4 linked regions of the Diceros bicornis minor genome follow. The protein of the gene in region 4 interacts with the protein of the main gene of each other region in a biochemical or structural test. Links are inferred from orthologs where the notes say so. Each region holds a gene or a part of one and is shown on either strand. Other genes may lie near its edges.

Evidence for each region.
Region 1: the proteins of SMAD3 (region 4) and TGFBR1 form a complex in vitro, tested with the Homo sapiens proteins (2 studies listed by BioGRID, with this or other methods). The link is inferred for Diceros bicornis minor from reciprocal best matches to the Homo sapiens genes SMAD3 and TGFBR1.
Region 2: the proteins of SMAD3 (region 4) and MECOM form a complex in vitro, tested with the Homo sapiens proteins (2 studies listed by BioGRID). The link is inferred for Diceros bicornis minor from reciprocal best matches to the Homo sapiens genes SMAD3 and MECOM.
Region 3: the proteins of SMAD3 (region 4) and ZFYVE9 form a complex in vitro, tested with the Homo sapiens proteins (2 studies listed by BioGRID and IntAct, with this or other methods). The link is inferred for Diceros bicornis minor from reciprocal best matches to the Homo sapiens genes SMAD3 and ZFYVE9.

The regions. Positions count from the first base shown.
Region 1 is NC_080767.1:9,159,478-9,166,464, forward strand, and holds the start of TGFBR1 (TGF-beta receptor type-1), read left to right. Parts: upstream 1-3,969; 5' UTR 3,970-3,984; coding exon 3,985-4,069; intron 4,070-4,652; exon of another isoform or gene 4,653-4,765; intron 4,766-6,987. UniProt on the Homo sapiens protein: Transmembrane serine/threonine kinase forming with the TGF-beta type II serine/threonine kinase receptor, TGFBR2, the non-promiscuous receptor for the TGF-beta cytokines TGFB1, TGFB2 and TGFB3.
Region 2 is NC_080754.1:52,324,153-52,331,837, forward strand, and holds the start of MECOM (histone-lysine N-methyltransferase MECOM), read left to right. Parts: upstream 1-4,667; 5' UTR 4,668-4,747; intron 4,748-7,685.
Region 3 is NC_080752.1:14,482,418-14,489,852, reverse strand, and holds the start of ZFYVE9 (zinc finger FYVE domain-containing protein 9), read right to left. Parts: upstream 3,019-7,435; 5' UTR 2,755-3,018; intron 1-2,754. UniProt on the Homo sapiens protein: Early endosomal protein that functions to recruit SMAD2/SMAD3 to intracellular membranes and to the TGF-beta receptor.
Region 4 is NC_080744.1:61,120,894-61,128,383, reverse strand, and holds the start of SMAD3 (mothers against decapentaplegic homolog 3), read right to left. Parts: upstream 3,019-7,490; 5' UTR 2,530-3,018; coding exon 2,324-2,529; intron 1-2,323. UniProt on the Homo sapiens protein: Receptor-regulated SMAD (R-SMAD) that is an intracellular signal transducer and transcriptional modulator activated by TGF-beta (transforming growth factor) and activin type 1 receptor kinases.

The sequences.
Region 1 (6,987 bases), on a different chromosome or scaffold from region 4:
GGCAAGCCTGCTTCAGCATGAAAAACCCCGTAGAGGAGCTGATCCAGACCATTACAGATCTGTTCAACTCCCAGTTGACCTGCTAGCTGACAGCAGACTCATGCGAGCTCGGCTGAGGTCAGCGTCAATTGGCCCAGACCAGAAAAACTGCCCAGCCTACACAGAGTCTCATGAGGAACACATGGTTATTATTCTAACCACTAAGTTTTCAGGTGATTTGTTATTCCATTAGGAGCACCAAGAGCTAGCAATAGACAATAATGGTATAAGTCAATAATATCCTGTGGGTTAAAAAATAAGATAGAAATAAAATACACAACAATGATAGCATATGACTAGAATTGAAGTGATTTAAGGTTAAAAAAAAAAAAAAAACAGAAGAGGAAGATGTTTATTTTTCTCATATAGTAAGGACTCCAGGGTAAGCATTTTAGAGCTGGCACAGTTGCTCAAGGACTTTATCAAGGACCCAGACTCTTTCCACTTTTCTCTCTACTATTCCTAGTTATAGCCAACATCCTTATGTTCACAAGATGGCTGCTGCACCTCCAGGCAATGCAACTGTGTTCCAGGCAGAAAGAAGGTGAAAATGTGATGAGTCTGTCTCTTCTTTACAGGGAAAACAATATCTTTCCCACAAGCTCTACCCGGTAAACTTCCGCTTATATTTCACTGGCCAGAACTCTGTCACATAGCCATATCTAGGTGCCAGGAGCCTGGGAAATTGAGATTTTTACCTAGGTGAACTGCTTTCCTAAAGGAAATGAGGATTCTGTTATAAAGTGAATGTAGGAATGGGTATAGATTAGGCAACCAGCAGTCTTTGCTCTCTGTTTGGGAGAAAACATCTTACTTAAGGGAATAATCCAAAAGGAAAAGCAGACAATGTACTCAGTATAAAGATTGAGAGGTAGCATCACATAGGGGACAAGGTCCTGGAGTTCGTCTCCTAGTCCTGGCTCTGCAGCTGACTTGCTGGGGGACTGATCCTCAGTTTCTTCTCCTTTAAATCAAAATGTTAGAATAACAAACCTGTAACTCTTTTTGAGAGCCCATAGAGACCGTGAAGGGAATTAACATTTATGATAGAGTCTTCATGTGCTATATAGGTCATTTAGACCTTACAACAAATCCATGAGTCAGTGTCATTATCCCATTTCACACCAGGAGATGTGAAACCTCAGACAGATCAAGCAGTGTGTACAGATCCCACAACCCGTAAATGGCAGAGTTGGAATTCCAACTAGGGTCTGAAGGCTTCCAAAGCCAGAGGCTTCTTTCCATCACCCACAGTTTCTCAAAAGGTGAAATAAGTGCGTACATTTTTATTTATTGAATTTTAAGGGCATACTTTCTAAAGCACTGTCTTTCGAAGTGTGGCCTGGTGACACGTGCAACAGAATCACCCGGGGTGTGTATTACAAATGCAGACTCCTGGACCTCCTTCAGATGAACGGAAGCAGCCTCTCTAGGGCTGACACCCCGGAATCTGTATTTTTAAAAGCTCCCCAGGTAATTTGGAGACATTTTAAAGTTTGAGAACCATGATTTTAAACTTATAATTTATTATTCCATTCTAAGGTAGTTTATTCATGGATCCGTGGCTCATGGAAATTTCCTCCAAATATTAGGAAAATAAAATTTAAAAATAGCCTCTTTCTCCTTCCTGTTCCTCAGTGTCCTAAGGAACACTCCATTGCATGGAAAATGTTAAGGAACTGGAAGTGTGTCATAGAAGATATCCTAACGCTGATTAACTGAGGCTCTGCACGGCAAAGGCTTGGATTAGCATGAACACGCATGCTGATTAGAATCATACAGAGCTGGAAGGGGATGGGCAAAGGAAATGGCATTAACTAAATATTTACTATATTCCAGACACATTACGTCATTTAAGGGGCCTAAGACGTGTGATTCAACCCCTTTCATTTATAAATGGGGTAGGTACCATTATATTTCTGTTTTAGAGATGAAGAACCTTGTAATGAGAGAACAGTCACTTGTCCGAGATGAATCATTCATTCATTCATACAATATATATCTCTTGAGCTCTTATGCAAGACGCTGAGAATAGAGCAGCAAAAAAAGCAGTCTTGCGACCTCAGGTGTCACAAGGCCCTGAATGACCCACCAAGTCTCCACTGAAGAAACTGGAACAGAGAGAGCAGACTGGGACTGGAGCCGGCCAGAAGCAGTCTCTCCTGGTTTGGTCAGCCTTCTGCGGCGGGCGAGAGGAAAGCTTGCTGCTGTTGTCTCCAGCAGCCCTGGAGAGCAGGCCGTGACCTGGGTTTTAGCAGTAGCTGCATCCCTGGGGAGGTGGTTCAGTGTATACCAGGCCCTCACCTCTCCAGAGGGGCAGGTGAGGGGTCTGGAGGGAGGGCCTAGAAGTGGAACTTGAAAGCGGGATGTGGAACCCCCAAATCTCATCATATCCTCTCACTTACCTTGGGAGATAGATATTATTTCCATTTTATAGATGAAAGAATGGAGGCTCAGAAAGGCCAACTGACTTGTTTAACTGTCCCAGCCCGGAGGGGAATAGGGCAGGTCTCAGATCCCAGCTCCACGCCGCATCCTGTCGCTTTGCAGCTCAGAAGGGAGGTCTTCACAGGCAGGTAACAGGCTCACGGGGTCGCGCTAAAGTAATTGACAAAGCGATGCTAAGGGCTGGTTCCGATCCCTGCTCCCAAGGTTTATTTCATTCCAAGTTCAAATCACACAGAAAATAAAATTTTCTCCTTAAAAGGTTCTGTGGAAAAATGTTCTGTGTTCTCTGTAGCAGCCTCCTTGGCTGTGTTTGCGTCTGAAGAGAGGACTAGTCTGACAGGAAGAATTACAAATCTGGAGCTCATTTTGGCGTCCCGGGGGGAAGGTGGGTGGAGCGTCTCACAGTCAAGTAGGAGTTCAGAATGAAAACGTAGCCGAGGTTATTTGGGTTTCCAGCGACACCTCAGAATTATTGTGCAGGCGTGTCAGAGGCAGCTCAAAGTAATGACTGCTCCTCTCCGCCCCGGGGGTGCTGCGTGCTAAGAAGGGGAATCCCCCTCCTTTGGGGGGGGGGCCTTCCCTTTCCCACCTGGATCAGGGAGGGGTAAGAGGGAAGGAGTGTGGTTTGGAGCGCCGTTCTGGGTCTGCTCTGAGTTCCGGAGGGAGGCGGGAGGCTATTCGGGGGTATGTCTGAGCTTAGGATGTGAGGTCTGAGGCTGGGACCTGAGGCCAGGATTTGAGGACTTTCTGGGCCTGGAATTTGGGGGGCGGGGAGCCTAGGTTGGGGCTAGACGCTGACAGTGGGAGGAAACAGGAGACTGAGTCGTCTAGGAAGGGCAACGACGAAGAATCTTGGGGGGGATGTTGAAAGTTAAGGCGTGGATCTGGGGAGCGGAAGTTGAAGCCTGCCGGCGGTACTGCGGGTCTGGGTGAATGGGGATGGGTGGTGCAGGGCTGTGAATGGGGGCCGGGGCGGCGCTGGGTCAGTCCCAGATCTTAGGCGCCTAGAGGAGGCTAGAAGAAAAGAGCGTCGAGCCGCCACAGCCCTTTTCCGAAAGCGCCTCACACACGCCCAGACACACCCATCGTCCCGACCTTCCTCCGGGACTGGAAGGTCGCAGGGCAGGGGCTCCCTAGACCCCGGCCCCACCGAGCCTGCTCCCAGCGGCGAGCGGCTCCGGCCGGGACCGGGGTCTGGCGGCACGGCGCCCCGGGAGCGTGGGGGCGTGGCCAGCGGCCGGGCGCCTGCGGCCCCGGATTGGCTGCCCGGCGGGCCCGCGGGCGGGGCTCCGGGCTGGGGCCCGCGCGGCCGCTCGCAGACGGCCGGGGGGCGTGGCCGGCGGGAGCCCGGCAGCCAATGGCCGCGCGTCCCCGGAGCAGTTACAAAGGGCCGGAGCGAGGCCGCCGCGGCGGCGGGGGAGGTGGGGCGAGGCGAGGCTTGCTGAGGCGAGGCGGCGGCCGGGCCGGGCCGGGCCACAGGCGGTGGCGGGGGGGACCATGGAGGCGGCGGCCGCTGCTCCGCGTCCCCGGCTGCTCCTCCTCGTGCTGGCGGCGGCGGCGGCGCTGGTCCCGCGGGCGGCGGGTGAGCGGCGGCGCGGCGGGCGGCGGGGCGCGCGGGCCGGGCCGGGCCTCTGGCTCGCTCCTTCCCTTTCTCAAACATGGCGCGGGGCCGGGGGCGCAGGTGGCGGCGCCGGGGCCGGCGCTGGGCTGTCCCGGGCGGGGCGGGGGCGTGTGTCCGCGCGGGTGGCCGTGCCCGGCAGCCGCGGCCGCCCCCGCTCCCGGGGAGGTGCGTCGGGCGGGGCCGTCCGAGTCGGGGGCTGCCCTCTGAGGGGCGGTGGGCGCGCGCCGAGGGCCGGGGGTGTGAGGCTGGCGGGGCCTGGGGCTGCTCCCCGCGCCCCCGGGGTACCCCACCCCGAGCGGCGGGTGCGAGGCGCCCGGGCGGGGTCGGGGTCGGAGCCTCCAGGCTTCCCCGCGCGGCGGGCGGGGGCGACGTGTGGTGGAGCCCCGGGGTCAGCGGGGCCGCCCTGGCCTTCGGCGCCGGCCCGACCCCGCCGAGGGGGCTGCCCCTCGGGCCGGGCGCGGCTCCGGGGGGGCAACTGCGGAGCTTCGTGTGAGGAGGAGCAGGAGGCACGAAGATGTGCGGAGGGGCTCTCCTTTCGGGCGTCTGGAGGGGTTGAAGTGGATCCGGGAATCAGAATGGTGCAGATTGTTTTCGTAGTAGAAACTTGAACGTTTGCTCACTCTGCGGCGTTTGGAGTATTTGAATGGGAACGACTCTGTGAGTTGATCAAACGCTTTTATTTCCTCGAAGGAACGTCGCTAGTGATGTTCCCTTTCTTGAGTGACAGTAGTTTGAATCAGTCGTCTGTGTAGCTGGTTTTCAAGGGAAAATGTTTGCTCCGTTTTCCGGAATATTAAATCAGGATGGGGTACGTGGTCATCACCTACCGTCGTGCAAGGAGGAACTAAAAACTTTGTTCGCATCCAAACTAAGATAGTCGAAACTAAAATAATAGAGCCTTAGCGTTGGAAACTAAAATACAGTGAAAATACGTTTCTGTTTCTGAAATTGAATACCAGATATTTTAAAAAGCAAAAACAAAAAACTCAAGACTGAGGGTGCCAATTATTACTAACAGCTACTGTCTGTTAAGAGCTGACTATGATGTAGATGCATAAAGTACACCGAAGTACATTATCTAATTCTCACAACTAAGCCCTCAGGGCTAGTGGCATTTGCCCCATTTTATAGATGAGAAAACTGAGGCAGGGGAGAAGTTAAGTATTCAATTACTAAGAGCTGGAGTTAGGGTTTGCACCCAGGGTTCAGTATTCCAAAACCTGTACAAGCTTAGTATATACACCTAACCGTCCTGCATAGCCCATTTTTCTTTTTCAGTCCTGTAACGAGCAGTTGATCTTTATTATTCACATTTAGATTTTGCTCTTGCAATTTGAAAATCAGGTTGGCTTCTTTCTGATTCCTACTGCATTCTTGGAGTCCCTTCACACTGGGCCTGCATTAGAGGAAACAATGGATTTTGGACATTGGCCTAAGGAGGCAGGCAAGATGAATATGTGGACAGCAGGGAGAATCAATATAGTTATGAGTCAAGCATACATAACATTTCCACAACACCATTAACTCAAATAGTGTAGTTCACTCTTTTCCACCTAGCCTAGCACACAGAGTGTTCAGGTATTCAAATAACAGTATTCCCCTTAGTTGATGGACAGATTGCTGAGTCCGCACCCTGGAGGAGCTTACACACTGCACTGGCATGCATGCAACACAAAGCTGATACAGGTGCTGTTGCTTTTGTCTGGACTACCTCAGCTGGTCTGCCTGGCCTCGTTTTAAGAGCTTGCAGTTGTTCCTTATTGTCTGGGTTATCAGTTTTTTATTTCTCTGCCCAGCTTCTGCTCTCTCCCATACAGATTTCTCTAGGAACATGGGTTCCCTGTTCCTGGTACACAGTTTAGTCCCACTACATCTATGTATATAACCCATGTGAGAATGTTGTTTGCTTCCTTTCTGCCATTTCATAACTTTTTTCTTTGAACACTTGCCTAAAACTCAACTCTTCTTTATATTAATGCCTCTTGAATGTCTCCTCTTTGTACGCAGCCATCACTTTAGGCTGCCTGTTATCCCTCAAATCTAGTTGCTTCCAGTGTTTCTCTCATCTAGGCTTTTCTATAGGCTACTGCTAATCTTCCTCAGCCATCCCATAAAGGGTTTACAAGATTTCCCATTTGTATTCAGCAGTTAGAGCAGCGCTTGAAGCTTATGATTAGGGCCATCTCTGAGTATCCAGCCAGAGCTCACTTCTCACTACTGCAAGCCCTCAATTCCAGCAATTTCTGTCTTCCCTCTGACTCCTGACTTGGCAGCTTTCACTGTATACTTAATTTTGCCGCTTCTGGGAGTATGAGGAGAGAACTCGATCCTGACTTCCTATACTGGTTTAGTTCCTGAACTTTCCATTTCCCTGAGCTGTATAGCACTTACAGTTTGTGCTGTCCATTTCTGCTGTCTTGCACTGTTACTTAACTATACTCTTGAACATGTGATAGGTACCGAGAGGGCAAGAGTCATGTCTTTTATTTCCTTTATGCTCTCAGAACCTAGCACTGTGGTTTATATTTTGTTCCACTTAAATGCTTGTTCATTAAGTGAATTGCATTTGACTGAGTATTCCTTTAGTATTTATACTGTTATATGTACAGTTCATGTGATATTAATTGATAATTCTGTGTATAGAATCAGGAAAAGTCGTATGATGTGGTGAAAGAAGCAGTTGGTTATTAGCTTTGGTTATGAGTCCCAACTTCACCTCTAGTTGTGCAGAAAATGGGGACGATACCTGCGTTTCCTAATTCATGAGAGCATGGAGATCAAATGAGAAAGTCATCTTGGAGTTTGAGGTTGCTATTTGTATGGGTAATAATAGGTGGGGCTGATGTTCACCCAGCAATTCCACTGGGCCACGTGTGTTT
Region 2 (7,685 bases), on a different chromosome or scaffold from region 4:
CATGGTAGATGAAATAAGAAAATAAGGAAGGTGGGGTTGGGGCAAGTAGAAATTTCAAATCCAGCAGAATTGAACAGTTCTGTTGCATCTAGTATCAACATGCTGTGTTTGGGAGAAGGACCTTTCGGTGCAACTGCTTGTCTGTTTCAGAAAGAGAATCAGTTTTCTCCAGGAGCTGGCTTCTAAGACTGCAGGTTTACTGGCTGAGGGGGAACAGGAAGGCAAGGAGGGCACCCAATAAAAGATAAGGATTATTTTCCAAAAAGGCCTGGACTAACCGATACCTGAACCTGGAACATGATCTCCCATCTATCTCGAACTTTCCCATAGATTACTGATTCCCCTCCATGGATTTTGACCCTCTTCTTATTTAATCCCCGTGTTATGCTAGGCTTTGCTATCATGCTAATCTCTTCCATTTCCTCATTTAGCAATTGACAGGACCTGGATCCATGGGATCTGTGATGGACTGGTCTTGGTGGGAGAGTCCACTGGTATTTGTTCAATGTGTTTGCAATACAGCCGAATGTACCATCCGTGAGATTTGCTTTAACTCTTTGGGAGGGCAGAAGCCAAGTCTTACCCTGTAAAATAATAAATACGTTTCAGATAACACATCCTTGCACTTTTTTCCTAGAATAATTGGAACATTCATACAAATAGATTTAGTCTCCTTGTAGTTTATTTAATTGCCTCTGTTATGAAAGACTTATAAACATGTCCATGCCATCTAATCTTTCTGATTCTCAGTTTGTAAAATGAGGGTGTTGAACTCTACGATCTCCAAGGTCTTTTCCTACTCCAAAATTCTGTGACCCGATACTTCTATTGTTTAGACAAAAAATAGGTCTGTTCTGAAATGGTCTGTGTTAGGCAGCAATCCAAATGGACTTTTTAAGAATTCACATACAAAAAAAAAATATTCTCACATAGAGTTCTATAGGATGAAGAGAGGGCCCATTCACTATTTGTTTGCTCTCTGTGGGAAAGCTATTCTTTTTTTTCCTCTTTGAACAATATAAGGAAACAACTTATCTTTTACGATTTTTGGATTCAGTTCATGGAGGGTGTCAGTATTGTCTAGTGTTCCCAACGGGGATGTGGGAGTCAGAGATGCCAGGACTTGTTCCCAGCTTTTCTGCTCCTTATGTGACCTTCAGAAGCCACGAAACGACTCTTAAGACTCAGTTTATCTGCCTGAGAAATTGGGCTCCTCTGTCTTTACCACAGAGAAAACCGAGTCTTAAAGTTTTTGGAAAAGGATTACAGCAGCCTAAAGGGTTAAAATGATCATCTTTAGTCTTTCAGAACATTTATGGATCCCGCTCTCAGATGCTTCTCTACTGCCTAGCATGAGAAGCTTTTGCACAAATACTGTAGGATATAGCATCACAGACCTAATTCAGAAACTGTAAGAATTCAACCAAAATCGGTGGCCTGAACTGGAGGTGACCCTGAGTATACTCGAGAATAGGTTTGCTGTGTAAAGTATTAATAAATAAAGTTGCAAGATAAGGGAATGCAGAACTTAAGAGGGGACAGGGGGACAGAAGGGGATGGCCAAGCCTGAAGAGTTTGTTATCAACATCCACTTCTACATCAACAGTTACCATCTTAATAAAATGAATCTTAGCTATTGATTAGGCTGAGGAAATTCTTCTATATTACTGCAGAGATATTCAGAAATAACCAAAAACTAGAAACAACCTTTCTATATGATCTGGTCAATTTTTCAGATAAAAGTACTTAGGAAAGTGCAAACCAGTGTGACAAACTTAGTATGATTTTACCAAATTAACATGAATCAGTGAAGTTTTACTATTGCCGGAAACTTGAAACAATCCAGGTGTTCCTAAAATCTGATGTTCAGAGTGGAAAAATAATACTGCCTGCAGTTTCACAGCGACACTGCTTGCTTCAGAAATCACCAGGTTGTCAGTTCAAATCCATCCCTAAAACCTTCCTCCACAAAATATACCAGGTCAGGGAAATAATTATGGTGTGAGGAGGAACCCCTCGATTATGTTTGGTGATCTAACTGGAATGTCGAATCAGCTCCTGTGAATGAGAGCACAGTTAGGTTGGCATGATCTCAGTAAACATGAATGAGCATCAGATTTCCCAAGCACACGAGGAAATGTGAAATGCTCTCAAGCAACCTTCCCAGTTCAGATGGAAATAGCCATTTTGGATATGTACTCCTTCGGCTTTTGTATAAGGGAATCAAGTCATCATTCAGTCAAGTTTAAAAGCTGCGCTTGAGCTGCCTTTTTGAGAGGCGAAGACATGCTGGAGCTGCACCACGATTCATCATGTTCAACTTCATTTGGTGGAAACATTACAAGGGAATAGGCTCTCAGTCTCCTAGGAAGTGCCTCGGCTCTACGTTACTTCCCAATCACGCTGCTTACCACTGCCCCTTTATTTCTTTGTAGCCTGTACCCTTTGTATAGTGTACATTGTACAGGCTACATTGGATCCAGAGGCCCCCATCCTGTGAAAAATTCAGATGGCTAGAGCAGTAATCAAAAATACCAATAAAGTGTCACCGGTCCTCGCTGGTGATATGGGATGGCGGGTGAGTGAGATATAAAAATGAATCATGAGGCGAGACATGATTGCTGCTCAGGCAACCACTTCCAAATGTGAGTGCACCCAGGTTGCATAAATGGTTCGGAATATTCTCCGTTAGGCCAAAAGGCTTGCAGATAATGGCATCAACTCATCAGGCTCCAAGGCCCCCAGGGACCCGGGAGGCAGAAGAGTTGTTGCTCAAGTGGTTGAGCCAAAAACATTTATGTCCGGGCACTGTTGGGTAAGTGGCATCTGCTGACAGGAACGGCTTGGAGTAAAGTTGGTTTTAAAAAATACGCACCACAGCCCTATATGTTTAATACAGGAAGCTGTCTGAGGTGTAAAGAATGGTGAAGTAAATGAGCGGGATACCATTAATCTTGGTTTGTTTCAGCACTACATCTTGAGCAGTTGAAGGGGGGGTGGGTGGAGAAAAAGACTTGCTCCTAGCTCATAACCTGAGTGTTAAAACTGATGTCCTTCCCATTAGGGCCTGTAAACTCATTAGCACATGGCAATTTATCCTCTTTTATTTGTTCTCAATTATCCTATCATCCATTGTATCTGGGTCTGATTACCCTTTCCCAGAGTCAAACATTATCTTGTAAATCATTTGCTTTAAGTCCAAGCCTGCCATTGCACTGCCTGGGATTTGCTTAGGCAGGTAATAAATCAATTAGTATTAAACTTGTGGTGTCATCTATTTTCTTTCCTCGTGCTTGGAAAGAGGAACACCTGAAACCCTAGCTTCGGTTACATCACATTTCTGTGCATGCTTTTGAACAATGCAGAGACGTTTACTCTTGTTTAAGGAGAAGGAAAGATAAGGGAAAACAAAACAAGGATTCCACATCCTCAGTGTGTGCCTGGAAGGCTGATGACATCATAGGTATGTGGCCCACGTATTTCAAAGGTGATACTTTTAGCAATAATTGGGAACATCTATTATTTAAACGCGGACATCAGAGATTCTGTTTAAGGGATAGTCTGATTTTTATGTCCAAAACACAATTATGGACCCAAAAGGAAGATGGTCGTTCATTTTTTTGTTCTATTATTCTTTTATGTACATACTACTTCTTTGCACACATACAAATTGGTCTGATATAACCAGACAAGAGGAGCAGAGTATTTTTTAGATCGTTGTCCTTTCCTCCCCTATACATTCTAAAGGGTATCTCTTCTCCCTTTAGGTAGTGTACTAATTTACTTATTCATTTTATCTTCATGCCCTGGATCTAGTTTTCAGTCCTTTGGGTGAGTTTCTGCACAGGGAGCCCAACCAAACAATCGTAGCTCAAAAGTAAGCCCTGTGAGTTCCTAAATTAAAGAGAAAAATCCTCTTGGGTATCTCAACAACCAGTAGCCTCTGCTAAGTGATGCCCCGTGTATGGGCTATAAATTAGTGGAGATCTTTGCCCTCCTGATTGGGAAATGGTGCCTGAAAGGGACTGTCAGACACATGGCAGGACCCCATCAGGGGAGCTGCTTCCAGCCTTGGAGAACAGTGGTAGAACCATGAAGAGGGCTGGAGCACGATGCAACTGGAGTGACTGGAGGACAATTAAAAATATTTAGTTCTGGGTCTGGCTACTTGGACTGCAGACAACCTGGCTCCCTGGATGTACTTTCTTCTCCAGCGTCCTTCTGGAATCTGCCCCACATCAAGTGCTTCCTGTGGTTCTTTTGGTTTCAATCCTTCGCTTTCACCCGGTGAGAACATGCATGGACTCTTCCTCCTATGGGTCGAAGGATGAATCCTGATTTAGTATCCTAATTTGTTTATTACTGATACTGGTTAAGCCCTCAGTGCCTAGAATTATGGCAGGCATAGGCTCTAAGAGAACCATGTAGCCATGTGTTTCCACTCTTACAGAGGGGCTGATGGAGACACTCAGGAATGGTGCGAAGCCCTTCCCCCAGAGCAGGGAATTTGAATCATGGGGTGGGGCTTGTTCAAATGCAGTCTCTGATTCGGTAGGTCTGTGATGGGCCTGAAATTCTGCATTCCTAACAAGCTCCCAGGTGGAGTGGATGCTGAATGGCCACGGCACTTTATATTTTCTTTTCTGGTGGCAAGAGTAACTTTTCACCCTATCACAGCCGTCTGCCAATGCATCCTCTGTGCCCTACAAGATACCAAGCTCCTTGAAAACAGGACATGACTACCTTGGTGAGTATATAATGATTAATTGCCTTGATTTGGGAACTAGGGGGTCTGGGATCTAAACTCACTTCTCTAGCAAACTAGTTTTGTAACGTTGATCACTTCCGCTGAAATTGTAGAAGATCTCTCTTTTTTGTGCAGTGAGGGAGTTTGGACTAGATTTTGGGTATTGTATAAAAGCAAGGGCAGGAGTGAGGTAAGAAATGTGAATGAGGGAAAGAGTCATGTAGTGATCAGGGAAGATCCAAGAAAGATTGTGATGTCTAAAGGGAGCTCCCTCCCTTGTCTCTCTCCTAGGGTGTGGATCCCTTGTTGCCAGACCTTACAAATTTTTAAGAAGATAGAAATCTGATTTCTTATTAGTGTAAAATCTTCTTGCTTTTAAATGTTGATGAGTAAAATGATTTTTTTTTTTTTTTTGCTCAAGAAGATTAGCCCTGAGCTAACATCTATGCCAGTCTTCCTCTGTTTCGTATGTGGGTCACTGCCATAGCATGGCTGATGAGTGGTGTAGGTCTGCACCTGGGATCCGAACCTACAAACCTGGGCTGCCAAAGCAGGGTGCACCAAACTCAACCACTAGGCCATGGTGCCAGCCCCCTAAAATGAATTTTTTTTAAAGGAGAAGAGACACACTGGGGATGACATACTATACTTCTGCAGGCCAAAGACTACCCACAGGCCACCAGTTTGCAGGCCCTAGCCTGGACTAGGCTCAAAAGCTTTCTTCCAGTAAACACATAGGAACTATGTTCACAAATGTTAGTCAAGCTAAACCAATGAAAACAACATTTCTGATGGACCAATCAAACCATCTATAATGGTGGAGTGGAGGTGGCCGGTGTCTCAGTGCTTTGGGCTTTCCTGAGTGCCATACATAAGATGGATGGAGAGGCTGGGCACCAGGCGCCAGCAGGTTACATGAGCTCTCCTGGGGGTATTTGCTCCACCTGTGACTTGTAGTTTGGTTTGTTTGTGTGTTTACTGTCCTAGGAGTTGCCAGACATGCTTCTGGTCTTTGAGGTGGTGATACTCGTGAAATGCTCAGGAACCGTGAGAGTCCTTCTCATAAAGATGGCTTTTAGGATAGTTCAGGGGTAGTGACAGCTCATCAGTCACAGAGTAATAATCTTTACCTTTAACTTCTTCTAAGACCTCTTAATAGGAACCACTCGTTCAATTGTCAAACTTTTTCTATTGACTCAAGTGCCATTAGCAGCCGTGATTAGAGACCATCACACTTTTCCCCAGAGGTGGCTCAGTATAAATGAGGAGACAACATTATGTTAGCATGGATATGGACATCCCTAAATTGGCAGAGTGCAGTTCTTGGTATAACTTCATTTGGTTGCAGAAGAGAATCCAAGGTCACACAAAGATTATTGTAAGAGCTGTATCTTCGACAATTGTCCACAATAGGTCCATACTAGTCATCATTTTCTGATGTTCTATTTTTCTGACTTGAGTTCTCTGGAACTAACCTTATAATGACACTTAGCCCATTTAAAGTTCTTTTTTTTTTTTTCATCTCTCTTCAGTTGGGTAATTGTTCCGTTCACATTATGGAGATGTGTCATGTCTTGAATTTTATATCCTGGAAAACATGTAGTAAGTCAAACTTGTTCAGACATGATGACACCACATAGACATGGCTGATTGTAAGAGGAGACAAATAGTTTAGGCTTAGATGTGAGAGAAAAACTGGGGTTACTGGCAAGCATTAAATATTTATAAAGCAGCCAATCTTTGGTACTCGTTGGGGAGTGTTTTTGCATGAGGCATGTCAGGCTTTATAATTAGTTATGGAACTTAGTATTATTTGAGTTTTTGCCATGCTATTTTCTTCCTATGAAGGATCATTATTTTAAATGTGTAATAAGAAGAAAGAAATATAGTTTGGGAAAGTGGTAACTTTTCATTTTTTGAATTTTTGAATAATAATTTATGTTACAGTCTAGTAGTGACTTTGAATTTTTTTTATTATCACATTTTCAGGGATGATGTTACACTAAAATAAAGATTGTGAACTTCAGTGTAAGATAAAAAAAATTCTAAATTCAGATAACTTTATAACATTTCTCTTAAAGCTTCTCTCTCCATTAGGAATAACAAAAGCAAAAATAAAAACACAAATGAAACAAAACAAGGCTCCCATTCTCTTCTTGGCAAATAACTGTATTTTGATTATTAGCAGAAATGGCTTCGCTAGTGCTTATGGCATTTGTAAATATAGTTAAGAGAGGGCTTTCTTTTCTGAAAGAAAGTTGCTACATTACAACCATAAGTTGCTATAACCTCTTGAGGGAGAGGGGAAAAAAAAAAAAACAACAAACCCTCAAACCTTAATAAAAGTTCCCAGCAAAACCGTTAGGGATTTCAATTATGAAGCTGTTCTCAAGATTCTTGTAAAGGTTATTTGTTGAACAATTTCTCTGTAACAGTGTATGACAAATTACTCGCTTGGCACCGTGAATGATACACAAGCCCTTTAATTAGAATATAGCACTCGATGTCTTTAAGACCTTCTAACATTTCTTAGTTATATTATTCCTCCCACGCCTTTCCAAGGAGATGTGGACTTGTTTGCAGAGTCAAAATGGGTGATGGAGTAGGGTGGACAGAGACCTCGCACTGGGCTGGGAAAATCCAGAAGCCACACAAAGAAAGGAAGGCTCTGACCCCAACAAGTTTTGATTGCAAAGGCGACTCTGATAACAGAGTTTTTTATTATCCATTGCTTTTAGCCTTATTTACCATCAGACTCTCTTGCCACGAGCATGCTTTTTAGTTCTGACAGCCCTGAATTATGGCCATTGTGGGATCCTATCTCATTAACTGAAATGGGAGAATAAAACATCAAACAATCATAAAAATAATTTGGCACTGTGAAACCACTTAGGAGCAGCTGTCAAACAGGTTGGAAGATAAACTTCTAAATAAAAAG
Region 3 (7,435 bases), on a different chromosome or scaffold from region 4:
AGAAACTGAGGATCTAAATGTTACGTTGCTCTAAGGGTTGCAGTAAGGATTCCTGCCCACATCTGATTCCATACTCTGCACCACCATCATGCAATTAACAACCATAAAATACACAACACACTCATCCCTTTAGGAACATAAGAATTTAAGTTAAAATTCAGGCAGTTATCTTTTAAACAAGCTTTGTGCCTTGCAACTAGTCTGTGGCCAGCACATAACAGGTGCCAAATAAAAGTTTATTGAATGGAAAGAACAGTGGCAGCTTAGCAACAGAGGAAGAAATGGGATCATCTCCACTCATTCTGTTTTTCTAAAAGAGTTAATATAAAACTATCATTTACTAGGCAACATATACAATTATCTCCTTAAGGAATAAAACACTGAATCAGGAATTGGAAGAGAAAGGAAAGACCATACGTAAAAATTAATATTCTTAAAGGGCAAGCTACTGGATAAAACATAGAAGCCTTAAAGAGAGATCCAGCATGTTCCACTCAATTACAACACCTGTCTGACTCTGCCTTGTCACGGTTAATTAAACATGTCCTGCTTCCACAATTAGCTAGTTGCTAGCAGAGACTTTGGTCATTTTTGTGTTTCCAGAACACCAAAGACAGGACCTAGCACTTAATACTAATAGCTAAAATTTTATAAAGATCTTTTACAGATTATAAAACTTTCAGATGTATTTACCCTTAAAGCCTTGCAAGGTAAGTATAACTATCTGCATTTTATAGACAACGACACTGAGGTCCAAGGAGATTAACTGCCAAGACAAGTGGCCAGGTATCCTTCTATTAACACCACAGCTACCACAAAAGGCTCTCAATAATGTTTGCTGACTGAATCAGCTGTCCCTCGAAAATCACTATTTTTCTTTCTAAGATTACACCACCATTATCTGTTGCCATGAGAAATGATTGTATTGCCACTTAAGATTGATAGCTTTGCTAGAAAACAGATACTTTCATTCAGCTTGCCAAGGTTAGTTCACTTGATTCTCAAACCTTAGTAGGACTAAGAATAAGGGAGCGTGATAAAAATGAAGATCCTTGGGCCATCATCATCCCTAGAAATTCTGATTCGGGAGGCCAAGAATCTGCATATTGTTAACAAACACTCTCAGCTGATTCTAATGTTGGTAGTCTTTAGGGACACTGAAAAATTGAATTAGATTTTTTAAAACTTAATCTACCAAAAAAATTAAGCCAATTTTTTAGTTATAAATATTTAAGCAAAATCTTACAAAAAAAAAATACAACGTTACCGCATGTAACAGGATAGGTCCTCAAAAACATTTACTACACCAAACCTCCCTAGACCTAAGGAGCTTCCTGCGCTGCACAGGAGGTAAATCAGGGGTCTTCTAGGTAGTTACTCATGTTATTTTGTTTTATTGATGAATTCAACTATGACTGCAATACAATTTACGAAAACATTTTTATAGGTCTTATACAAATAATGATGTGAAACAGTAAAATGAAACAGTCAACTTTGGACCTAATATACAGAAATAATAATTTAAAAATCACCAACAGTACAAGCCCATTTTAAATTTTAAATGACCATCAAAATGTACTAACTGTGAGACTATGGATTACTTTCGTCCATTACTAAATATTTATTGCGAGTCGATACAGTACCTTTCTGTACTTTCCAAATTTTCTACAATAAGCATATTTATTTTTTTCATGATGATAAAAGTTTTAGAAGTACTTATCAATCCTACAACCTTCACATACATAACAGGAAAACAAGAATAACCTGTGACCACATTTATCTTAAACCATAAACACCCATATCTGACATGGTATCAAACTGTAATCACTAACTTTTTTTACATTAATACCAGAACACAATATTTAACTTCTAAAATTTAGACTATGTCCCATTTCCGTCAGGTATCTGTTATTAGGATAGTCAGCACGACTTTTTAAAATCCTCTTGTCATCTAGTCTATGGATCTATTTAGGTGGAACATTTTTTTACTAAGGACTGAGGCATTAAAATATTCACACTCTCTTATTGGGGGAGTAGGGGGAACGCACCTTTGTAATTAATAAAAAAAAGACATTTTTATAATTGTGAAACTTAACATCAACATCGCAAAGCTGGGATGGGGCTTTCTCCAAGGCAGACCACGCTTAAGGGCAAAAGGTAATAGAAGAAGGCAGGGATGAGCTACCGGCAGGTGATGAAATTTCACCTCAAATAAGACGCAAAACGTCGTTTTCAACCCAGTCAGATCGGTGAATGACACTCCGGAGTACCAGGGGCTTTCAGGGCCCCGCACTTTCTGCACTCCAATTCTCACCCTGCCCTCCTGTCCTCCAACCCCCCCCTCCGGGACTCGGCGGGACTCAGGATGGGGCGCGGAAAAGCCAAAGCTGTTTGCAAACAGGCGTCCTCAGCCTCGGTCCGGGATGTACGTGCAGGGCCCGGGGTAGAAGGCTGCGCTCGGCCCGGGGCCAACACGAAGGGTGCCAGTGCCCCCGCCAGCCCCCGGCTCCACACAGGAGCCTGCGCCGTAACCGAGGCCGGGGCGAAGGCTCCTCGGCGGCGCGGGGCCTAGTCGCCCCCCGCGCGCCTCCAGCCTCTCGGGGGACGCGGGGAGGAAGGGCTGAGGCTCCAGCGCCGCGGGGTGGGGGAGGCGACCACAGCGGCAGGACGCCCCGTCCGCCCGGCTAGAGGGCTTCTGCCAGGGTCCTCCCGGGAGGCCGAAGGCCAGCGAGCCCGGGACCGCGCCACACTCACCTCGACCAGCGGCCGCCGCCGCCTCAGCATGGCCGGGGGGGTCGTCCCTGAGCCGACAGCCTCCGCCGGAGGACACCGGCGCGGCCCCAGGCGCCGCCGCGAAGCCTCCCACTCCTGAAGGGGCTGTGGTCGCCGCTGCTGCTGAGGCCCAGCGCCCACCGAGCCGCATCGGGCTCCCGGGCCGCCGCAGCCACACGGATCCCGGAGGAGCGCCGCCGAGCCGGCCCGGGGGCGCAAGGCTGCGGCGGGACGACCGAGGTGCTGCAGGCGGGGATCCTCGGCGAAGCCTCCAGCGTCGCCGTGGCCGCTCCTGCCGCCGGCGCCGCTGGGCCACAGCGCCCCCTGGACCCCACGCCCGGCTACGGCGCCGGGACTGCGGCTGCCGCCCGAGCACGAGCGTCAGGGACGCGAAGGAGCGCGGCCTGAGGCTGGCTGGGGCCCCGCGCTCCCTGCGCCGCCCTCGGCCCCCAGACTGCCCCTGAGGACGCCTCCCCGGAGGCAGAAGCCCCTCGGCCCCCACAGACCCTGGCGGGCCCCACCCCAACCGGCAGCACACCCCACCCTTAGACCCCAGGCACCTTTGCTCCTTTTCCTTCTCTCCAGAAGGTACGTGAACGTTCTTGTCAACTCGGACCCTCACGTGAGTGCAGGAGTATGAGGGAATCTCCTCGTTTTCATCTCTTGATGATTCGAGGGGGAGCCCTTCTAATCCCTTCAGCGTGTCTGTGTGTAAGAAGAGTGACCCAGAACCAACCTTTTTCCACACACACATACAAAATCCTTTCCCAAAACAGATGAAGGAATTGCCTTTGACTTTAACTTTTTTTGGATCTACTGTGCAGATCATTATAGAAATTTCCTTTAGCCCCTAACCTCCCCAAAAATAGAAAAAAATAATAATATGCCGAGCAAGAGAAGAGAATAGCCAACGGGTTGTCCTGAATTCATAAACAACTTAAAGGTAAGAAAAGAACCATCCATCTTTTCTAACTAACCCCCTCCCTCACTCCCACCCCTTCTCTTCTACCCTCCACCCTTGCTAAATCCCAGGTAAGGCTCTGAAGGAAGGAAATTGTTTGTTTATTGAAGTATAGTTGACATAACAATATTATATTAGTTTCAGGTGCACAACATAGTGATTCGACATTTATATACATTATGAAATAATCACCACATCTAGTAACCATCTGTCATCATACAAAGTTATTACAATATTATTGACTATATTCCCTATGCTATACGTTACATCCCCATGACTTAGTTATTTTATAACTGGAAGTTTGAGGAAATTGTTATATAGCAGGGGCCGTGGAATCATTCTGTTTACTGATACCCCATATTCTATCCCACTCAGATTCTAGGGTGCAAATATCAGAACGAAAAAGAAAAGAAAAAAAAAAAGACTGTCGGGGGGAAGCAGGGAAAGAGAGAAATTCTCCAAATCCTCTGGTCTCAAATTTTTCAGAATACATTATTTTATCATAGAGTGGTATAGTAGAATCAGCAGGAAACTGGTGGCAGACAGATCCTGATACTACCAATTCCAGATCTGTTGTGTTTAGCTTTATGACCTGGGCAAGTTACATAATATTTCTGAATCTCTGTTTTCTAATGCCTGCCTTGTTAGTTGTTGTGAAGATTGGAGATAATTTATGTAAAGGAACTAGCCCATAGAAGGTATTCAATAAATGTTACTTCCAATTAGTGTTGGTTCCAAAACACCCTCTCAGTCTTTCTTAGATTCAAGATTGTTCCCATCTGCTTTTGTTCTTTCTCTCTCAATCTGTGTGTGTGTGTGTGTGTGTGTGTGTAAATGTAAATGTTTTCCTATCAAAAGATGGGTGCATCATTCTTCATCATCCTCAGTCTAGGTAAAATTTCCCTAATGGATTTATGTAACATCCCTCCTGAAGAATAATAGAGTCTAATTCACTGGATCCTATGACATTCTGTTGCATAGCAGATATCAGCATAGAACCAGTATGTTTTTCTTTTTCTTTTTTTTTTTTTTTGAGGAAGATCAGCCCTGAGCTAACATCCATGCTAATCCTCCTCTTTTGCTGAGGAAGACCAGCTCTGAGCTAACATCTATTGCCAATCCTCCTCCTTTTCTTTTTTTTTCCCCCCAAAGTCCCAGTAGATAGTTGTATGTCATAGTTGCACATCCTTCTAGTTGCTGTAAGTGGGACGTGGCCTCAGCATGGCCGGAGAAGCAGTGCGCCGGTGCGCGCCCAGGATCTGAACCCCCGGGCCACCAGTAGCGGAGCGCACACACTTAACTGCTAAGCCATGGGGCAGGCCCATGTTTTTCTTTTTTGTGTGAGAAAGATCAGCCCTAAGCTAACATCTGTGCCCATCTTCCTCTACTTTATATGGGATGCCGCCGCAGCATGGCTTGACAAGCGGTGTGTCGGTGCGTGCCTGGGATCCGAACCTGCGAACCCCAGGCCGCCACAGCAGAGCATGTGCACTTAACCGCTTGCTCCACTGGGAAGGCCCCCAGTATGTTTTTCTGTATAGAAAGAATTATAAGGCAATCTCACCTTACCTTAGGTTATGTCCTAATAATAATAAAGCTTAATGAGAAAATTATATAAGATCTCTGGGAACTTTCAAATAATAATTGAGCAGCCACTTTAGAGAAAATATAACCTAACAGCTCTCTTCCAATCAATTGTAGAGCTGATCCTGTACAACCCTGTACAGGATTTGGCCTTCGCCGCCTACTTCTGATTCACATTACAAAAAAATCACTATCCCCTTTTTATAACAAGAGAAACTGGGGCTCGGAGGGAAACTATGATTCATCCTCATAACAACTCTGTGAATTAAGTACTATACTACCACCCTTTTACATGTGAAAAACTTCCAATGTAAGGAAAAGCTGAAAGTAAACCCTGAGATTCCTTCAGTCTCCCATCTGATGCCCTCACAGTTCTTTCTGCGGTATTCAGAAAATGCTGTGAGAGTAAGTTACTGTTGGCTAAAAATTTTCAATCTAGAGAAACGGGCCCTTTAATTTAGATCAATTTGACAACCTAACATTAGCTCTGTGCTTTCCAAGCCTAGTTCGCTACCACTCCAGGAAATCTGCATTTGTTTATGAATAATTTTGCTACCCAGGGTGTAACTACTACATGAAGATGATTCATTTGTTCCCAGGACCAGTTTCCTCTTGCTTCACACTTTCTCCCCTTATTCAGATTATGTTGCTGAAAGTGGCTGCCTTTATCATCATTACCACGTTCCTGATCATAGTAGTCCACTTTAAATCCTTTCTACAGTTTCATTTCATTGTTTTGACTTTTCCTACCCAGTTTGCTCTCTGCTCCTGAAATGTCTCTCATCTGTTTTCCTCTCCTTTACTGTAAATCTCTTTTTCATTTTAATCTACTTTGACCTGCTGTCAGTTGATTTGGTTACTCCACTCTCAATTTTGCATTGATTTCCACTACTATCCAGTGACTTTAAAATATCTCCTTATTCCCAACCTGGTAAACCTCCTGACTTTCATTTTTATACCATATACATCCTTAGAAGGCCAGTTTTCTAAGAATGGTTTCTTCAAGTAAGTTTAAGGTATAGCACCCCAAACAAAATTTTTTTTTGCTCTTTAAAATTTCTTCTTTAGGGCCCGCTCCGTGGCTTAACAGTTAAGTGAGCGCGCTCCGCTACTGGCGGCCCGGGTTCGGATCCCAGGCGCGCACCAAGGCATCGCTTCTCCGGCCATGCTGAGGCCATGTCCCACATACAGCAACTAGAAGGATGTGCAACTATGACATACAACTATCTACTGGGGCTTTGGGGAAAAAAAAGGAGGAGGATTGGCACTAGATGTTAGCTCAGAGCAGGTCTTCCTCAGCAAAAAGAGGAGGATTGGCATGGATGTTATCTCAGGGCTGATCTTCCTCACAAAAAAAAATAAATAAAATAAAATTTGTTCTTTAAAATTCAGGCCTTTTGTGTGTCAATTATACCTCAATAAATCTGGGAAAAAAATTCAGAACAAAACGATATCCATTTCCTGGCTTGGTGAATGGCACAGAAGTCATCCTTAACTCTTGTGTCTCTGTCCTGGACAATTGGTTACTAAGCCTGATAAATTCTACTTCTTGCTTTTATTGAATTTCTCTCCTCCTCTCCAACTCCACTGCCACATCCTTTGGTCTAGGGTATATGCTCAATAAATTACAGGTGCACTGAATGAAAAGAAGGGAGGGAGGGAGAGAGGAAGGAAGAATGGATGAATATTATATTTGTGTACAAGAGCATATACTGTAGGGCCGGCCCGGTGGCGTAGTGTTTGAGTTCAGCGCACTCTGCTTTGGCAGCCCAGGTTCGTGGGTTCAGATCCTGGGTGTGGACCTACACCACTCATCAAGCCGTGCTGTGGCAGTGACCCACATACAAAATAGAGGAAGATGGGCACAGATGTTAGTTTAGGGCCAATCTTCCTCACCAAAGGGGAAAAAAAAAAAGAGTATATACTGTGTAAAAGTTTGTTCACAAAAAGGCACAAAACCTCTTCCATGCTTCCAGTAATCCTTGTGCTTCCCAATTTATAAGTACTCATCACTGCACTGTTAATATCTGTTTACTTGTATGTCTTCCCTATCAGATTGTGAGGCCTGTGAGCCAGGTTCAGTGTTTGATTCATCTCTGTGTCCCCACAACCAGTCTC
Region 4 (7,490 bases):
CCACCCAAGCAATTGGGTTTCCCTAGCTGAGAAAAGATGAAAAAAATCTGCCTCAGCATTAAGTCCTTGCCAGGCAGGTAGAAGATGCCTCCAGATGCAACCAGAGGCCCTAACAGAGTCATGAGAAAGCCAGGGGGCAAGTTAGCCTGAACTCGCAGAAACACCAAAGCATCCATAGGCCTCAGGCTGCAGGACCCTGGAGGCAGGCCAGAGCCATGCTCCCCCAGAGGGAAACTCCCACCAAGGCCAGGGGAAGCCAGGCCTCTCCTCCAGGCTGTCACCAGCCCACAGATTCAACATCAGCAATCTTACCAACAAAGATCCACACTGCCCCCCCTCCAGTCCTCACCCCCTAGCTAACAGTGCTTTGGCATTCAGGAAAGAATGTACCCAGAACTTCAAGGTGAAGAGCAGCATGGGGTAGGAGAAGGAGCACTTCTGGTCAGAATCCCATGTCTGCGATGTCAAGCCTTTCCACCTCTCACCTCCAAAGTTTTCTCAACTTTAAAAGTGAGATCAATCTTAAGCCTAACTGCTTTATCTGTTTTCCAGGAGTTTCTTTCTTTCTGGATCTCATAAAACCATGTGAAAGTGCTCTGTAAACTGGAAAACACTTCATGCAGCTGCTCGTTTTATAATTGATACCATCTTTTCTTTCTGTTTCAAGGCATAAAGCACTTATTATCAATGCACCCAGGCAGGTAAGAAGACAGGTTTTGGAAACCCCTCCCCCCGGGGGGGGGGGGCGGAGTAGGACACTCATTCACCCTACTCCCAACCCCCAACCCAAGGGATAAAGAAGAACTAAGAACCAGAGCTGGGACCAGAACCCAGGGCTCACTGACCACCACATCACACCACCTCCTCTGAAGTCCATTCTGGCTCCAGATCACACGCCCAGAGCGCACTTCCCAGACACCACACTGCCTTCGCTCCCCCTTTGTTGACTAGATCCACCCAGTTTTTTAAAAAATTATTATTTTTTAAGTCAGCACTCCCACCATATGTGGCATTCATTTCCAGAGAAGGCCTGCCCCGGATTCCCACGGACAGATGTTGCTTTGTGCCTGCCTGACACCACTGGCAGCCCTTGCACAGCTGCCCCGAGCAGGTGGCCAAGGATGGAGTCCACTGCCGGCCCAGGAGCAAGGATGACAATCTCTGCAGGGCTCAGGCCCTGGGGACCCTCTACTCATTCCTCTGCAGCCTGGGACCCCAAGGACATCCCCCACCCCACACACACTCCCTTGGCGCAGAATCAGACCTTAAAGGGGGCTGAGAGGGAGAGACAGAAGGCCAAGATAACCCCCCCACACACACCCCCTAATTCTCAGCCAGGCGCAGCTAAGCTAAGAGAAGGCCCTGGGGAATGCAGAGAAGTCACTGACCCCTTCTATCAGCCATCTGTGAGCTCCCGCCTGACCTAGCTAGCGCAATGTGGAGGATAAAGGAGGTCCAGACAGATGGCAAAGCGCTTTGGGAAGGAGGGCTCTGCAGGAATGCGAGGGCCGAGGCGAGGCCCACTTTGGGGTGCGTTTTGTTATCTCATTGGCTCTGAGCCCCCTCTATTCTGCATCTACCCGCAATCTCAGACTCAAAGGAGAGCAAAAACAGTCGGGGGAGGCGGGGAAGAAGACCCTACTCTCTGCCACTTGTCTCTCATTTGAAAGTCAGAGCATTGCACTGCAACTAAAGTGCGTGTGTGCGGAGGGGGCGGGAGACTGGCACAACCGAGTCTAAAAATACTCGATAAAAATGCTAATCCCGAAGGCAAAGCAAGAACGAAGAAGGAATCTGTCAATCATGAGGCTCCCGCTCCTCACCCACAGCCCCAGCTGTACGGACTGCATTCCTGTTGAGGAGGAAAGAAGTGGGGGGACAAGACTGAAGAAAAGAAAGGGAGAGACACCACCACCTCCACGAGCGCGGGCCGCGGGGGCGGGAGGCGGCGGCGGAGGAGGGGCTCGGGCCCGCGGAGCTGAACAAAGCGGGCCTCAACTTCTAGCCCGCAGCTCCCCGGAGTGGGGGTGGCCAATTCCAGCAGCACCCCCGTTTCCCGGAGGTGAAAAGCGAATGTGAGGTCTGGAAGTGAGAGTGCCGCGTGGAAGCCCCAGGCTCTGATGAATCTTTGCAAATCCAGAGAAGGTTTTGTTTGGGGTCCCCTCTAACCCCTTTCTGTCCGCGCTCCCACCCCCCCTTACACACACACACACACACACACACACACACACACACACTCTCCCTCCCGCTCCAACCCCACCCGGCCGGCCACGCCACGCCAGGGGGCTGGGCGGGCGCGCCCCCGGGTCGCTCGGACCCCCACCTGGGGATGGTAATGCACTTGGTGTTGACGTTCTGCGTCGTGATGGCCTTCTCCAGCTCGTCCAGCTGCCCCGTCTTCTTGAGCTTCTTGACCAAACTCTTGACCGCCTTCTCACACCACTTCTCCTCCTGCCCGTTCTGCTCGCCCTTCTTCCAGCCCAGCAAGCGCTTCACGATCGGCGGGGTGAAGGGCAGGATAGACGACATGGCTGGGGGAGGGCGCCCCCGGCGGGGCTGCGCGCGGTGGGACGCCGGGGGCGCAGAGGGGCGCTCGGCCGGGGCCGGCCGCGGCCGCCCAAACTTCGCCTCAACTCTCGGCGAACTTGCCCGTGCTCCGGGCCGGGCCGCGGCGCTGCAGCCTGCGGGGCTCGGCGCGCAGCCCTGCGCCCCGAGCGGCTCCCACGGCGGGGAGAAGGCCGGCGGGGGAGACGGGCAGGCGGCCGACAGCGGCGCGGGGTCGGGCAGGCCCCGAACGCGGGGCGGAGGCGGCGGCCGCGAGACTCGGAGTGGCAAAAGAAAGTTTGGGTTTCCGCACGGGGTAGCTGTTTGGGTGCCGCCTCCAGGAAGGAAAGTCCAACCCCCAGCCAAACTTTGCTCGCCTTGTTCGCTTTGATGCGCAGATCCCTCCGCCTCAGCAGCCTCGCCTCCCCGCTTCCCTCCTCCTTCCCGGCTCCCTCGCTCGCTCGCTCGCTGGGCCGGCCCGGGGCGTGCGCCGCGCTCCCGCTCCCGCCCGCTCCCAGTCTGTGTTTCATGCAAATCCGCGTGCAGCCTCCTTTCCAGGCGCTGTCACCGCCCCCTTGCCGCCGGGGCTCCCCGCCTCCTCCCCCGCGCCCCGCCGCCTCCTTCCCCGGGCGCCCGGCCCGCCTCCAGCGTCCGGGAGGGCGCCCGGCCTTCCCCCGCCCGGCGCAGCGCACGCCCACGCGGGCGGCCGGGGACAGCGGCGGCCCTGGCTGGAGCGCGTAGGACCCCGCGCGGCCCGGACCTGAAGTCTTGCGGGCGCCGGGAGGAAGTCGTGGGAAAGGAGCGGCGAGAGGGGCCCTAGGCGGGAGGGCTGGGCTCGGGCGGTGGCGTCCGCTCTGGGAACCCACACTCGGGAAGCTCAGTTGGAGTTGCCGGCCGGAGAGGGTTAGACTCGCAGCGAATGAGCGCCCTCAGACCAAAGGCTGGCGATGTACCCCTGGGAGGACCCGGGTCCGAGAGAGGGCGCACGGAACGCTGAGCCCCGGGAAGTGGTGGCGCACGTGGACGCGCGCGCGCTGATCCCGGTCCGGGGCCTTGGCCGGCGCTGGCGCCCCGGGGGCTGTTTTGATTCTCTCATCGGTGAGATCACACCGGCTGAGAGCCCCAAGGCTGTGTGCGAAGGAGGAAGTTGGGATGGGGAAGAAGTGGGCTCTCAGAAGGGGAGATTTGGGGACTCCAGTGACACCCTAGGTAATAGCTGGAGCCAGGGGTCCCTTGGGCTTTGTGAATCAAGTGCCCGGCAGAAAATAGGCCTCAAAGACATCTGTTGAATTCGTGAAGGAATGAATCGGGACGCTTTAGAATTTATCTTGGGGGAAAAATGACATTGCAGGGTGTTTTGAATCTTATGATACAGAAAGATCCGAAATTCGACACCCAATAAACAGAAAGAGAGAGAGCTTTGTTTCCAAAGCTGTGAACTCGCAAAAAGTGGGGCAAAAGGGCGGTGCTCGGGAAGTCGATGTGTTCAAAGTTAGCCTTGGTGGGAAGCAAAGAAACACCGGGATATTGGGGGGCTCGGGGGCTCTTCTCCCCACCAGCAGAATTCAGGGGCATCTGCCCACAGACCCCTCGGCTGCTTTCAGGAGTTACCCCAAGCCCCAGGGCCTTCCTCTGCTGACCCTCCCCTACCAGGCCTCTAGCCCGGTGTCTAAGAGCTTTGTTTATTTTTAACAGCAGGAAACCCCCGTGGTGAGAAAGAAGTTATCTGCAAACCCTCAAGCCAGTGGGGAGTTACAAAACCCTGTGAGGTGTGGCTGAATCCACAAAGTCAGCCCAGAAGCTGCAGGGGTCCCTGCCTTGTGGAGAGAACGGCCTCCCACAGGCCTGTCAGCTGCTGCCACTGAGCGCTGCGCTCTCTGCCCTCCCCTCCTGACTCCCCGCCTGCTTGGCCCTTAAAGGAGAATCCCTGAACCCCAACTGAGGCTTAACGACCTGGTTCCTGTTCCTTGCTGGTCCTCCAGCTGACCCGCAGCTGCTATGGTCTTAGGTTTCACTCCCTTCTTCCCAGCCCTCATCAAAAAAGAGAAGGAAGGAAGGCAATCAACCTTTATTGATGGCTTTCTTCATTCCAAGTCGCCCAAGTGCTGCCATCTAATTTAATCCTCACAATGGCCCTTGAGGTGGATGTCCCTCTGCCTCCCGTTCACAGAGGAGGCACCTGAGGTGCGGAGAGATTACAATACTTACTCAGGATTCCAAGCAGCACAGCTGGAATTTGAACCCCACGCATTGTGAGGCTTCAGTCCCAGTTCTTGCCACTGCACCCAGCTAGCTGCCTTATAGAGTTGTGGAAGGCAAAGATGACATCATTGATAGAGCTCTTTGCAAAACAAAAGTTCTTTACACAGGCTCGCTATTGTGCCTCTACAAGAAATGTTTGCTCACCTGTAAAATGGGGCTACAAATAGCTTTGCTCTCCACCTCCTAGGGTGGTTGTTGAAATCTAATGCAAACAGTCAAGTGTTGTAAAGGAATAGGACCACACCTTGGGGTCACTGAAATGCCGTGGAGAGCCTGTCACAGAGTGCGGATGAGGGAGCTCGGTTCCGTTCGAGGCGGATCTATGGAGAACCTTTGTGTTTCAGTCCTCCTACCCATTTCTGGGAAAGCTGAAATGAAAGATGCAAGTGCCTAACCTCAAGGACCTCACAGCCTGGAGAAACACCAAGGGGTGGCAGGTGTGTGCCTGGGAGAAAGGGGCCCTTGCAATCATTATCTCCTGGTAGAACATTAATTTTAACCTGAACATCAAATCAAGCAGGTCCAACTGTTGAGAGGCAGGCAGATAAAGTAAAAGGACGTCAAGCTCCATCAGTGACCAAGCTGGCTTTCAATCCTGGCTCTCTCCCTCCCTTCACCTCACTGAGCATTTGCTCTTTCAGCTATAAGAGTGGAGCAAACCGTTCTTCTTGTGCAGAGTGGTGAATCTAGAAAGAGCATTAAAATTGTTCTCCTCCAATGCAAGCCTCTCATTTTACACAGGCAGAAGTGGTATCTGGTGAAGGGAGGTGATATGCACTATGGAGTAAGGAGAAAAGATCTGAGGATTAAATATAGTGGATGGGCCTAGCGTGTACCTAACCCCTAAAATCATGGCATTGGAAGGGCCCCTTGTTCAGCCCTCTCATTTTCCTGAGGGGAGGAAATAACTAGTCAGCAGCTAGTTAGGGCAGCTGAACCATGCTATCCTGCACTTTCTTCACATGCAGGCATCCATGTGACACGGACAGCTGTGAACGCAGAAAAACAGTGCTGGACCCAGGTGTGAGTCCAAGAAGTCCCATTTCTGGGCTAGTTCTTGCTCCTCTGGCCTCGCTTTCTCCAGGAGAAGACTCAAGGGAAGAAGCCCCGTTTCACAAAGCAGCGAGGAGGGCTGTGGAATGGATTCCTCCCAGTGCCAGGGGGACCCCAAATGCTCCCTTGACTTTGGGCAGTGAATGGGTGGGTGGCTCTGGATGCATAGGAACTCCGTTCTGGCGCCTGGTCTCCTGGGGCCCAGCCAGGCAGGCTTTTGTAGAGGTTGTCCTTGGAAGGGAAACATTTGCCCGGTTAATTTTTCATCATGGTAAGTGCAAAGTTCAAGAGAGGTGGGATGGGGCCGGAGGCAACAACTCCGTTTCCCTGGGAATAGTCCTATCAGGGAATTGCCTCACTAGCCGACTTGCCAAAGGGTTTTTGTGTGTTTGGAGCAGCTCCCATGTGGAATACTGGAAAGAAACGAACACCTGACTTCAGTTCTGATTATTTTTCCATTAGCTAACGGAGGTTTAATCAACAAGTGGTGACTCTAGAAAGAGCATTAAAATTGTCCTGTCTTCATTTTGCAGAGACATAAAGTGATGTCTAGTGAAGGGAGGTGATTGGCAATATGGAGATAAGTCAGGATCTGGTCAGGACTAGGATTCTCATCAGAGTGCCCTCACCTAAGAGAGAGCCTTGGTCTGTAGCTCTGTGTAGCCCCTGACACACGCGAGCTCTCCCGGGGCACCCGGCAGAGCTGGGTTAAACTTCTAGCTCTACTACTTCCAGCTGTGTGACTTTGGGCACGTCCCTTAACTCCCTGTTTGTCAGTTTCCTCATGCATATGATGGGAATAATAATAACACCTACCTCTTAGGATTGCTGTAAGGAATCAAATAATCGGTGTAGAGAGCTTGCCACAAGCACATAGTACATCCTCAGTATACATAGACATGACTGATGCTCACCGTGGACTACTATGCAAAAGTTAGAAGTAATGAGTTCTGTATACACAAAACAAATAGATGAATCTTAAAAACCATTCCAAGTGAAAATAGTAACACACAGAATGAAATAAATAACATAATGCTCCTTATGTAAAAAATGACATATATACAAAACAATTGTATACATTTTGAAAGAGGTCATATAAATAAAAAAATACACATTGAACCACTTTACACCCGTTAGGATGGCTATTATCAAAGAAAAAAAATAGAAAAAAAGTGTTGGAAAGGATGTGGAGAAATTGGAACCCTTGTGCATTGCTGGTGGGAATGTAAAATATTACAGCCACTGTGGAAAACGGTGTGGAGGTTCTTCAAAAAATTAAGTGTAGAATTACCACTTGATCCAGCAATTCCACTTTTGGGTATATACAGGTATTTATCAGATATTTGCACACCAGTGTTCATAGCAGCATCATTCATGATAGCCAAAAGATAGAAGCAACTCTACTGTCTACTGATGGATGAATGGATAAACAAAATGTAGTATATACATACAATAGAATATTATTCAGCCTTAAAAATTATTCAGCCTTATAAAGGAAGGAAATCCTGTTACATGCTACAACGTGGATAAATCTTGAAGACATTGTGCTAAGTGAAATAAGCCAGTCACGAAAGGACAAATACTATATGATTCCATTTATACAAGGTACCTAGAATAGTAAAATTCATAGA